Linked DNA regions of Neodiprion lecontei. The protein of the gene in region 2 binds, or shares a complex with, the protein of the main gene of each other region. Links are inferred from orthologs where the notes say so. Each region holds a gene or a part of one and is shown on either strand. Other genes may lie near its edges.

Region 1 (5,609 bases), on a different chromosome or scaffold from region 2:
TATTTTCTCGCAAATTCCGGAAACATGGAACCATTCCATTATCGACATACATGAAAGTGTACAAAGTTGGGGACATCGTAGACGTGAAAGGTAATGGGGCCGTGCAGAAGGGTATGCCGTACAAGGTTTATCACGGAAAGACTGGACGTGTGTTCAACGTAACTCCACATGCTCTTGGAGTCATCGTCAACAAGCGGGTGCGTGGGCGCATCATTGCCAAACGCATCAACCTCCGCATCGAACATGTCACTCATTCCAAGTGCCGTGAGGATTTCCTCAAGCGTGTAAAGGAAAATGAAAGGCTGAGGAAAGAAGCAAAGGACAAGAACGTCCAGGTCCAGCTTAAGAGACAGCCTGCCCAGCCATCTGCTGCCCACATTGTCTCTGGCCGTGAAGCACCTATCTTACTAGCTCCGATCCCCTATGAATTTATAGCTTAAAAAGTAATAAACATCTTGATATGACATTGAAGATTTCTTGCAACTCATTCAATCCGCACCCAATTTTCGCAGACAAGTTGATCAAGGCAATCTGTCAAAATATGTGGGAATGTCTATTTTGAGATTCTCAGTATTCGACTAAAGGAAAATATGACTTGTTTGGGCATGAAAACAAAACTTGTAAAGTTAAGGTGTGTAATAAAATTATCTAAGCCTATAGCAATATTTTTTATTATCAGTCATATATTTTTACATTCGAATAATAATAATAATAATAATGTACTATAATAGTGCCTGTAACATGTTAATTTTAAATATCACTGACATAATAAGAACCAAGGTAAGAGTATTTTAAATAAAAGATTCCATTTAGCTCTTACATATTTTCAGTTTCGACTAGTTCTACGTAGTACAACATAGGTAATTAAAATAAATAAACTTTACATTAACATTTTCTGATTGCTTGTCTGCCATAGATGAATACTCATATCGATTTCACATACGTGATCATAGCTTGCATGCATCTAGTATATCTTCTTTTCGACTGTTTAAATACCAATGCGCGTAGAACACGTTCAAGAAAATAATTGAAAAATCTGATAGCATATTAAGGTAAACGACCGATTCGTCAGCATGCTATTTAAACATTCGCAAAGTCCCATGGATCATCATCATCATCACTCGTATTAAAATGTTAAATTGCTAAAGTATAAGTCAACTTCTAGCTACAGTCCCTTGATTGATAGAATAAAATGTAGCCAGTTTCGGAACTCTTTTGAATATCTGACGTCAAGCCGTAAAAATCTTCTATTGTCGCTGCATCTATTTTCTGGGACAAACAATAGGTTCATTTACTTCAACTCAATATGGCTCTAAGAGATGTTTTGTTATTATTCCTTGAACTTACATCAACCATGTCATCATCAAAAAGTAGCCAAAATCCATGACTTTTTACAATAGAAATGTAATGACCTCTATTAGGACCGCTACCACAATGTATAACAACTGCTACCAGGTCGTACAATCGATCTGGATTCACAGCATCATCACTCTGAAAATGATGATCAGACACCAACAATTGCATTGCAAGGAAGTCTTAAGTAAAAGATAAATCGACTTACAGTGTTGAAGAGTCTCAACTCTAATGGGAAGACCACTCTATGAGAAACTTTGATGTGTCTGTTGTATTGTTCTACGTATTTAAACCTTTTTAAATGCAACGCTAATATCATTGGCAGCTTCTTCACCCTCATACGTTTCTGTAAAAAAAAACAGTTTGAAAAAAGTGGTATCATTATAAAATGAGTTTATTATTCCACGTAAGTTCTTAAAGCTTACATACAGCGTAACTTTTTTTTTTACCTGAGCCTCCTGGTAGCTACTGCAATGATCACATTTGAATTTGTTGTCACTGCATAATGTTTCTGTATTAGAGAAGCATTTCAGACAATGTGTGATAGAAGTGTTCTGATCTACATCAACTTGTAGATCAAAAAAGTCTTCATCTTTACTGGAAACAGTTTCACAATTGAGACAACGAGTTTCTGAAGTCAAAATGCCCTGGAAAATTTCGTGAACCCATGTCGGCTCTGGCGGAGATCCTGCATCTCCTGCCCCACCTTTTCCGCCTGCAGGTCTGCTTTGGTTTCTTTCAGCTGTGAGTGAATGGTAAATATTGCTTATGGTTTCAATTCCTAAATTAGAACAAGTAGCTTCAATACTTCTACAGAATTAAACCCACCAAGTATGATTTCGTTAATGTGATTAATGAGAAAATTGAGAAACTCATGAGCATCTTGTTGCATATAGTTGTCGAATTCCTCTGAAACGAGGGAAAAAAAATTGGATTCAGACATGCAACCGTCTATACATTCATGACCACATCCATGAAAACTTGCCAAAAAAAAAACGACCTACCTTTTTCTTTTCTTAGTCTAGCGATAAATTTTTTTGGGGCAATGGAGCCAACTTTTTTCTTCTGTGTCGCAATACTGTAGAAAAGATCTGCCAAGCATGTTAATAAGGTTTCTTTGGTTCTTTTATTTCTTGCTTTGTATTCCAAGACTTTCTCTCTGAATGGACGACAGAAGTACAAAGCTTGTAATACAGAATTGCTGTAGCACGTGTTACCAAACTGTCCAACACAAAAAGTCCATCCTTTAGTCCATATATAGATTGTAAATGGATTGTAACAAGTAGAAAGAAAAAATTAACCATGGTGAAGTAGCTAGTATAATACAACCCGTGGAAAATAGATAAACTTAGCCAGTAGAAAAATTTCAGCAATTCCTTCTTATTGGAGATATACTCACGTTTACTAATCCAAAGTAATGCTCATTGGGAGGGAACTGATCAGAGCCGATGTCTCTTTCTAGCTGCGATATATTTGCACCCTGGAATTGGATGTGAAGATTGAAAACAAGGCGGAGACTCATTCTTAGTAACATATTTCTTCCATTGTTAACGCACTATTGTATCAAAATTCCATACAACAGTTAAGATTATTGTGTACAAATTAGCAGTATCAAATAATGGAAAGAATAGAATTAAAACTAGCTTTGGTTAGCTAAAGACAACATAAGACGAGGTTATCTTCGGCGATTTATCGTATGAACACGGTTTTCTGTGGAGAACGTACCATTTTATGATTTGATAGTATCAACTGGATGTTGACAAGAGCTAAGTACAGCTTCCACCGTTAGCTTAAGCCCCATCGTATAACAATTTGCACGTTTATATCAATTAAACGACCGACCGAACCATTGTCAATCACAACAGGAGAGTGAGTTTTAACGTAGTAAAAACTTTCATACGGTGTGATACAGGGAGGAGGATTAATGGATCAACACTTTCACCTCAATTGTTTAAATAAATTAATTACACTTTTATACTAATTTAAAAGAAAAAATTTTACTACTTCATTGCAACATGCAGGATAAAGCTCGCGTGTATGCATGCCCATACGTATCCATTAATGTGTGTATGAATTGTACGTATTATTATGTATGTATTACATGCGACTACATGTAGATTTGATTATTCCGTGTTCCTGAAACACTGGAAAAATTACTAAACAACTCGACGGATATCCGAGCAATGTTTCAGTCATCTACTTTTTAATCTACGGTGGTATTCCTATTTTATATTATCAATGTTCAAATAGCAGACACTATTACGATCAGTTACGAAAGCATCGCCGTTCAATTGCTGTCAGATAGGTATTAGGGGTTAGAGCTGCACACATAGATACATAGAATCAAGTGCGTAGTGTCATTCAAGGTTATTTATAATTTCATCGCAATACTCTCGATTAGACGATTCGCAAAAATATGTAACACAACCCGAAGACAGTCTGACAGTCAAAATGTTGAGATCAGTGCGTATTTTATACTTGGGAAATCCCGGGGCTCTCAATCTCCACACAAGCGTAAGTAGATGTTGATACTGCACCACGGCTGTGTGCTGAGTTTCCTACTTAACTGCCAGCAGTCTGTACCTAAACCTTAATTCCATAATTTTGCAGTGTGCGAAATGCAAGGAGAGCACCAAAAACGAGTTCACTGTCAAATTGGCAACCGGGCCGACGCTCCACGACTTTGTTTCAGATACTACGAGTAATTATGAAGGAAAGCTGAAACTGGAAAAAGGGGAAAAAAACCGACTCCGACTACCACCATGGTTGAAGACCGAAATACCTATGGGGGCTAATTACAGCAAGCTAAAATCTCAACTTCGTCAATTAAACCTGAGCACTGTATGCGAAGAGGCACGTTGTCCCAATATCGGAGAATGCTGGGGTGGTGGCGAACATGGAACTGCAACAGCCACTATCATGGTTCGAACTTTATATATATCAGTATCATCTAAAATAATTTGTTCTTTGGTGAAATGAACTGGCGATGTGTGATAAATCCTTAGCTCATGGGAGACACGTGTACTCGCGGATGTCGCTTTTGTTCAGTTAAAACTGCACGGACTCCACAACCCCCTAATCCTGACGAACCAGTCAACACGGCAGTAGCAATCGCAGACTGGGGTTTAGACTACGTTGTCTTAACATCAGTTGACCGTGATGGTGAAATATTTTTTTTTTATGTAACATTACTGTTATAGAAACTAGTTTAAAAAGAGCAACTTTCAGAACTCATACTTGATATTCATTGCCCATTGCAGATTTACCAGATGGGGGAGCAAATCACATAGCAGCTACTGTTGTAGAAATTAAAAAGCGGTAAATTTTGTATCATGCATTTCATTTGCTACGTTTTCAATGCTGTTTCTCAAATTTACCTTATTTTCTTAGGAGAAAAGATATGTTGGTCGAATGTTTAGTACCAGACTTCAGAGGTAATCAGGAATGCGTAGCAAAAATAGTTGAATCGAAACTTGATGTTTTTGCCCACAATATTGAGACTGTGGAACGTCTAACACCTTTTGTTCGTGACAGGCGTGCACACTATAGGTGAGTTCCAGCGAAATGAGCATAGTAAATAACTATTAATGCTGTTCATTTGCTGAGTAACATCTTTAATTGATATCAACATTTGTCAGACAGTCGCTGAGCGTTTTAGAAGGTGCGAAGAATAAGAATACAAATTTGATAACCAAGTCATCGATAATGTTAGGATTGGGGGAAACTGAACAAGAAATTGAACAAGCCATGCAAGATATGCGAACAGCTGGAGTGGATGCTTTAACTCTGGGACAATACATGCAGCCAACAAAACGACACTTAAAAGTCATCGAATATGTAACACCAGAGCAATTTAAAGCATGGGAGAGTGTAGGAAATGATTTGGGCTTTCTGTACACAGCAAGTGGCCCATTAGTGAGGTCTTCTTATAAAGCTGGTGAATTTTTCTTGACAAACATATTGAAGTCACGTCAAGCTGAATCTATTACACAAGATTCAGCTACCTAACTAGTTATATCCTGAATTTTATAGCTGGTGCAATGATTACATAGTAATATATATAGAAGGAAGTTATTTATACAAGTTGAAAGCCATTAATAATCATTGTAAATAAAATTTATTCCAAAAGGGTGACACGCAACATTTTCTAACTTCTACTTTTAATAATCATAGCAATAATTATTTCTGAACCTGCCATACTCTTTCGGTTACGTTCCCACAAGCGAATAGGTAGCTTGAGCAGGGTGGGGGAGGAA
Region 2 (5,257 bases):
AGTTGACCCAGGAATTATGTGCTCTTTAGGTACTGATTGTGTATACTATAAAAAATTAGGTGCTACATTTCATATCATTCGCAATTAAGTTTTACGTAAGCTTGCTGATGCAATGTATCGTCATGTTAAAGGAGCAAGTCACCCGGCTGGTAATTTTTTTGCTTGGGGTAACTTTTTACACAGAAATCTGCAGTGAAAAATATTCTTCAGACAGTTTTGAATTATTTAATTTCTAAATAATAAAGGTATCTCAATATCCATCATCTGATTTCTTTGGAGTATCATTTGAAGCTCAGTTAAAAAGTTGCAAATCTCAAACTCAATTTTTACAACTTTTGAAACGTTTTTTTAGATTAAAGTGCGTTTTAGACCAGTCATCCAAACAGCTTTTAACTAATGATTTGACCAAATGAAAGATCGCATTTTTTTTTTTTTTTTTTTGAGTATTTCCCAAAAAATGTAACATTTGAGAATATCGATGTGCGCCGGGCTGAATGTGACGGCAAATTATAAAAAAAATTCCGCTAGTGCAAATCCAAAGTTTTCCCATCAGTTTAATTGAAATAATTCCGAAATGACGGCTCTGAGCATAAAAATGTACAGCACTTTTCATGTTTGCTATAAAATTTCCTACAAGATGAAATTGTTTCCGAATTTTTAATTTCAAATTTGGAGACGAGAAACCGTTCTTTTAACGGCTTTGAAACAATACTCAATTTCAACAGATGATTTGGAAAATCGAAGATTGGGTGGTTCATTCCATCCCTAATCTAATTCCAAACCTCCCTCCTTGCGCGATTATTAGGTTGTGCAAAATCGGTGCTTAAACAAAAAAAATACCAATTTTCCAATTCAAGGTCCAGCATGAACGGGCACCTCTATATAGGTCCTGATTTCTTGACCTAGAGTAAGACATTCAAATTTTCATAAATCGCCATAAAAATGACTTTTTTCTGACTTTTATTAACTTTTTTGATTTTTTGAAAATTTTAGTTTTAATATTTCAGTTGCCTTTAGGAGTACAGAAATTTGAGGTTCAGATATGGATAGAGCGCGGTATCCTGCTTATTTTGAGAACAATACAAAGATTACACCTCCAAAAAGCTGCCCTCTCCACATGCTCCAAAAATTTTTTTTAAATCATAGATTAAGGAGCTATTTATGCGTTCTACAATGCCGCAAACCGCGATTTTTGAGCTCGTTTCTGTTACGAGAAAATCCATTTTGTAAAGTGGGGGGATCAGCTTACCGAAAAGCTAGCCCCGCCACAGAAAAAAAATTTTTTTTAATCATTTTGATCATGTAAGAATTAGGAACTAATTAGGAACTCCTGAAATACATTGGAAAAAATGTCGTAGAAACAACCCCTATGGATATATCCACGCCCAATCACGATGAGAGGAGAAAACAAAATTCAAAACGATGAGTACTGGCATGTTGTGTGAGTTGCTGTAAAAAAAAAATTCGCTGCGATGAATTTGAAGGGTAGTTTTCTGATGATCGGAAACAAATTGGAACAGGGGGTTATTAGGGGGCAGTATCTCAAAAATCAAATCATTCATGTCCGGTTAGCTCTTAGATCGCTGAACATTTTGCCATAAAAAAGAAATCGCTGCAATGAATTTTAAGGATGGTTTTTTTTTTTTTTGTTTTTTACTAAGGATTGAAAATCAGAAATTGTCACCACTGGTATTTAAAAGCTCTTAAATCAGGCAATCAGCACCTAAAAAGCACCTAATTCCTGAGTCAACCATTTTTATTCTACCGCTATTATTTAACGATTTTTTGAAGTGTAAATACATTTTTTAAGACAATGAATTCGAGTTAAAGAGCACCTAACTCTTGCGCAGTCATTTATAGACTACCATAACAATGGAAAACCATAACCAATATTGGACATTTTCAGACTATGCGCTACTAGCATGACATTGGGTCAGCAGCTCAGAGTGAAGAATCTTTCTTATCGGTAATAGAATTGAGCATCTAATTTTTGAATAGGACACCTAATTAGCACCTAAAGAGCACCTAGTTATGGTATCTGTAAGAATCGATTTTTCCAACATGGTTCTGCTGACATTACAGACGTCAGGTTTCCTGTGTATGCGTGGTTATATTAACATTACAAATTTTAACCTTATGTTCTTTTGAACTTATTTTTGATTCCAGCAAATTCGAAAATAATACTTTCAGTTCATTTTAATTTATTTGAACTTGAAGACCAATGATAAAGATTAAAAACATAATATTCCTAAAAATATTGTGGCAGCCAGATGTTGCATCAATCGCAGAACTATGAGCGAGATTCAAGTGATCATACTTACTGGTTACTGTATTGTTGCTAGCAGTGAGAGCAGTGAGAGTGTTGACATCCCATAGGAATATTGCTCTGTCCAATCCGGCACTGGCCACCTGTTCTCTGTCCTTGGCATAAGCAAGCGCTTTCACATAATCTTTATGCGTACGCAATGTAGACATACAAAAGCCTTTGTGAGCATTCCAAACTTTGACTGTTGTGTCCGAACTAGCTGATATCACTGAGAAAATTGATAAAGCAAAATGAGAGTAAAGAATTTGAAAGCATCAAAGAAGAAAGACAACGTGGCAAGAAGTCACTTTGACTTACAATTCTTTCCACCGCAACACGACACAATGTCGTTCACCCAGTCAGTATGATGTTCCATTGACTGGATGTACGGTTCTTTTATATTTTTGCAGTTCCATATTCGAATTATACTGTCTCTTCCTGCCGAATAGAGTCTGTGCGATACTGGATCATACTGCAGTGAGTTTACGCCAGCTCTATGCTTACGTTCAACTTCGTCTCTAATTACCATAGACACCTTTTACCGTTGCAGAGGAAAGGAAGATTCGATAATGAGCAATGTAACGCAATAACATCATTGCGAGGAGCAATGATGGTGTAGGACAAGAAGTTACATACAAATATATGATAAATGTAACCTGTCATGTTAACATCTCGTATGATGATTTGTTTACGTTTTCACTAAGCTTTGGTTATACGGACTGATCCGTACTCACCTGGACTTTCTTCCGGGCGCTTTGGCCGCCTGTCTTGTGTGCTGCCATTGTCCAGACTTGGCCTAAGCACTTTTTGAAGACATCGAAAACCGTAGAGGTCCGATTTTTAATAAAATAGGAAGAGAAATACCGAATTCAGCTTAGATCGCGTTTCACCACTCACGATCAGCATAAACTACGCAGTGTAAAGGCAAGGAAAAGTATGTCGTATGGATTTTCAACTAAAGAAGTGACCACCGAAAAGCGACGGGGTTCAACAAGTCACCAGAAAGGCGCTCATAAGCAATCAGAAGTGACGTCCTAGCAGTCAATTCTGGACAAATTACGAGATAGACTCAAAATTGAATCGCGAAAATGAATAGGGTTGTCTGATAATAAAAAATTTTATCAGATCATTACTATATTATTAACATTATGTAATTTAAGTAAAAATTAAAACGTAGAAATGGATTTTAGAATTGTATTTGTTGAAAAAAAATGAATAAAACAAAATAGCCGGCGGAAAGGAACGCCCTGTCATTGCGAAGGATGTGGCGTGACGTCATAATTGGATACCTACGTGAGATCAGTGTAAATTTATATGGACTAGACTTATTTTATGCTCTGTACTGTAACATCCGACCGGAACGTCCGTATGTTTTATCGATTATTGTTATTATTATTTATCATTTTTATTAACTAACCAAACTCGACGTACAACAATCTTGTAACCGTAAGGTATTAAAACAACCGTCTAACTATTTGGAATATCCCTAGATAGAAATAACTATGAAATTCACTAATCAAGGCTTAAAAACCATGTTACGAGATGTAGTTCGCACTACAAAGAGCTATAATATTATTATACGTTATTATATATCATTATCATATTAACACTATGATTAACTAACACCATTATATCCAATTATTATAAAACACTCGACAATGCCATTTGCACATTTTGAGCTGATACCTACACTATATGCAACTTACGCTATACCGTATAATCTGGAGAGTAGAAGACTGTGAAACCATAGATAAATGTATAACCGATATTATATAAAGATAGATGCACTGCTGCAATAATCCATAACACCAGAGACTGCAAAACATTCAAAACCGTGAATGCCAAATATCCGTCATGAATTATACTTTCCACCGTAACGCCGTATTGTAGGTAACGTGTGCAGCGTTTTGAAGGTAATGCTGATCTCCAATGTGGAGCCATATAGAGCCTCATCTGGAGAACATATTACGAAGCTTAACGACGAAACGATTGTAGATGAATCAACTAATGGGATTATCTTGTAAAGCGAAACAACCAAACAAAATTACAATTAACGTATCAATACAATAACAATCAACCCTTTTAGGTAAACAAGGCTTGTACCAGTTTTGAGGTAAAACGTAAGAAAACATATCCCTAGCTCCTTACAGGTATTGTACGACACCAAGGAATTAACTCAAAGATGTATACGTGGCAACGCCTAGTAACAGACAACCAACAAACATAAGAACAATGCTCTAATACTTTTCAAGCCGATCTATATCAATATAAGAATTAACAATTACAGAAGAGGATTATACAAAAGCACATATGTAAACCAGCTCCAAAACTACGAATTATCAAATTGTTAAATACCCTAAATCTCTTAAGATTGTTATAACACGAACACCTAAGAATATTCGCAGCAGCGCAATCCTAGTATTAGATTTAATATTAAATAAATAGCAACTATGTCCCACTATTGTACTCCAGGTGAATAATGATAGTAATTAATTATAACACATATGCAATTCTACATATTTACACACTATAAAACTTACAAAATAAAAAATAACCGATATGGTAATCTTAATTTATAGACCTCGTAACCAACAGGATAGTAAGAATATTTAAGAAGTAAACTACGTCTAGAACTCAGCGCATCGTGACCCCGAGAGTGCACACGGCACTAACGTCCGCGACATATGACACCACGAAACAAAGGTCACCGCTAGCGCACGTGCACTGTGATTACCATATTATGGAATAGCAGCTAAAATCGGCCCAGGTCCTAACACCTACAAAAAGAGGAGAGGAAGCACGGTAGCTAAGGAGATTGCTGCCCCAACTCCAAAGCTGACGCGGATAGGAAGCTGACGGCGCAACGACCCTACGCCCACACCACCGCACCAACACAGCGTTATACCATATATAAAAAAGCTTGCAATATAGTAATAGCTACAGAGCCAAGAT

Evidence for each region.
Region 1: WD repeat-containing protein 48 (region 2) and ubiquitin carboxyl-terminal hydrolase 46 share a complex: the UniProt entries of both Drosophila melanogaster proteins name them as parts of the usp12-46 deubiquitylase complex. The link is inferred for Neodiprion lecontei from reciprocal best matches to the Drosophila melanogaster genes CG9062 and Usp12-46.

Annotation. Positions count from the first base shown.
Region 1 is NC_060265.1:2,717,628-2,723,236, forward strand, and holds ubiquitin carboxyl-terminal hydrolase 46, read right to left. Parts: upstream 3,402-5,609; 5' UTR 3,082-3,401; coding exon 3,079-3,081; intron 2,909-3,078; coding exon 2,753-2,908; intron 2,575-2,752; coding exon 2,358-2,574; intron 2,263-2,357; coding exon 2,182-2,262; intron 2,096-2,181; coding exon 1,803-2,095; intron 1,700-1,802; coding exon 1,562-1,699; intron 1,492-1,561; coding exon 1,348-1,491; intron 1,270-1,347; coding exon 1,162-1,269; 3' UTR 518-1,161; downstream 1-517. Other genes in the region: 60S ribosomal protein L21, read left to right, coding at 1-440; lipoyl synthase, mitochondrial, read left to right, coding at 3,805-3,867, 3,964-4,275, 4,359-4,515, 4,614-4,671, 4,744-4,902, 4,992-5,361. UniProt on the Drosophila melanogaster protein: Catalytic component of the Usp12-46 deubiquitylase complex.
Region 2 is NC_060264.1:15,796,029-15,801,285, forward strand, and holds the start of WD repeat-containing protein 48, read right to left. Parts: upstream 3,228-5,257; 5' UTR 3,088-3,227; coding exon 3,040-3,087; intron 2,841-3,039; coding exon 2,624-2,840; intron 2,535-2,623; coding exon 2,322-2,534; intron 1-2,321. UniProt on the Drosophila melanogaster protein: Regulatory component of the Usp12-46 deubiquitylase complex. activates deubiquitination by increasing the catalytic turnover without increasing the affinity of deubiquitinating enzymes for the substrate.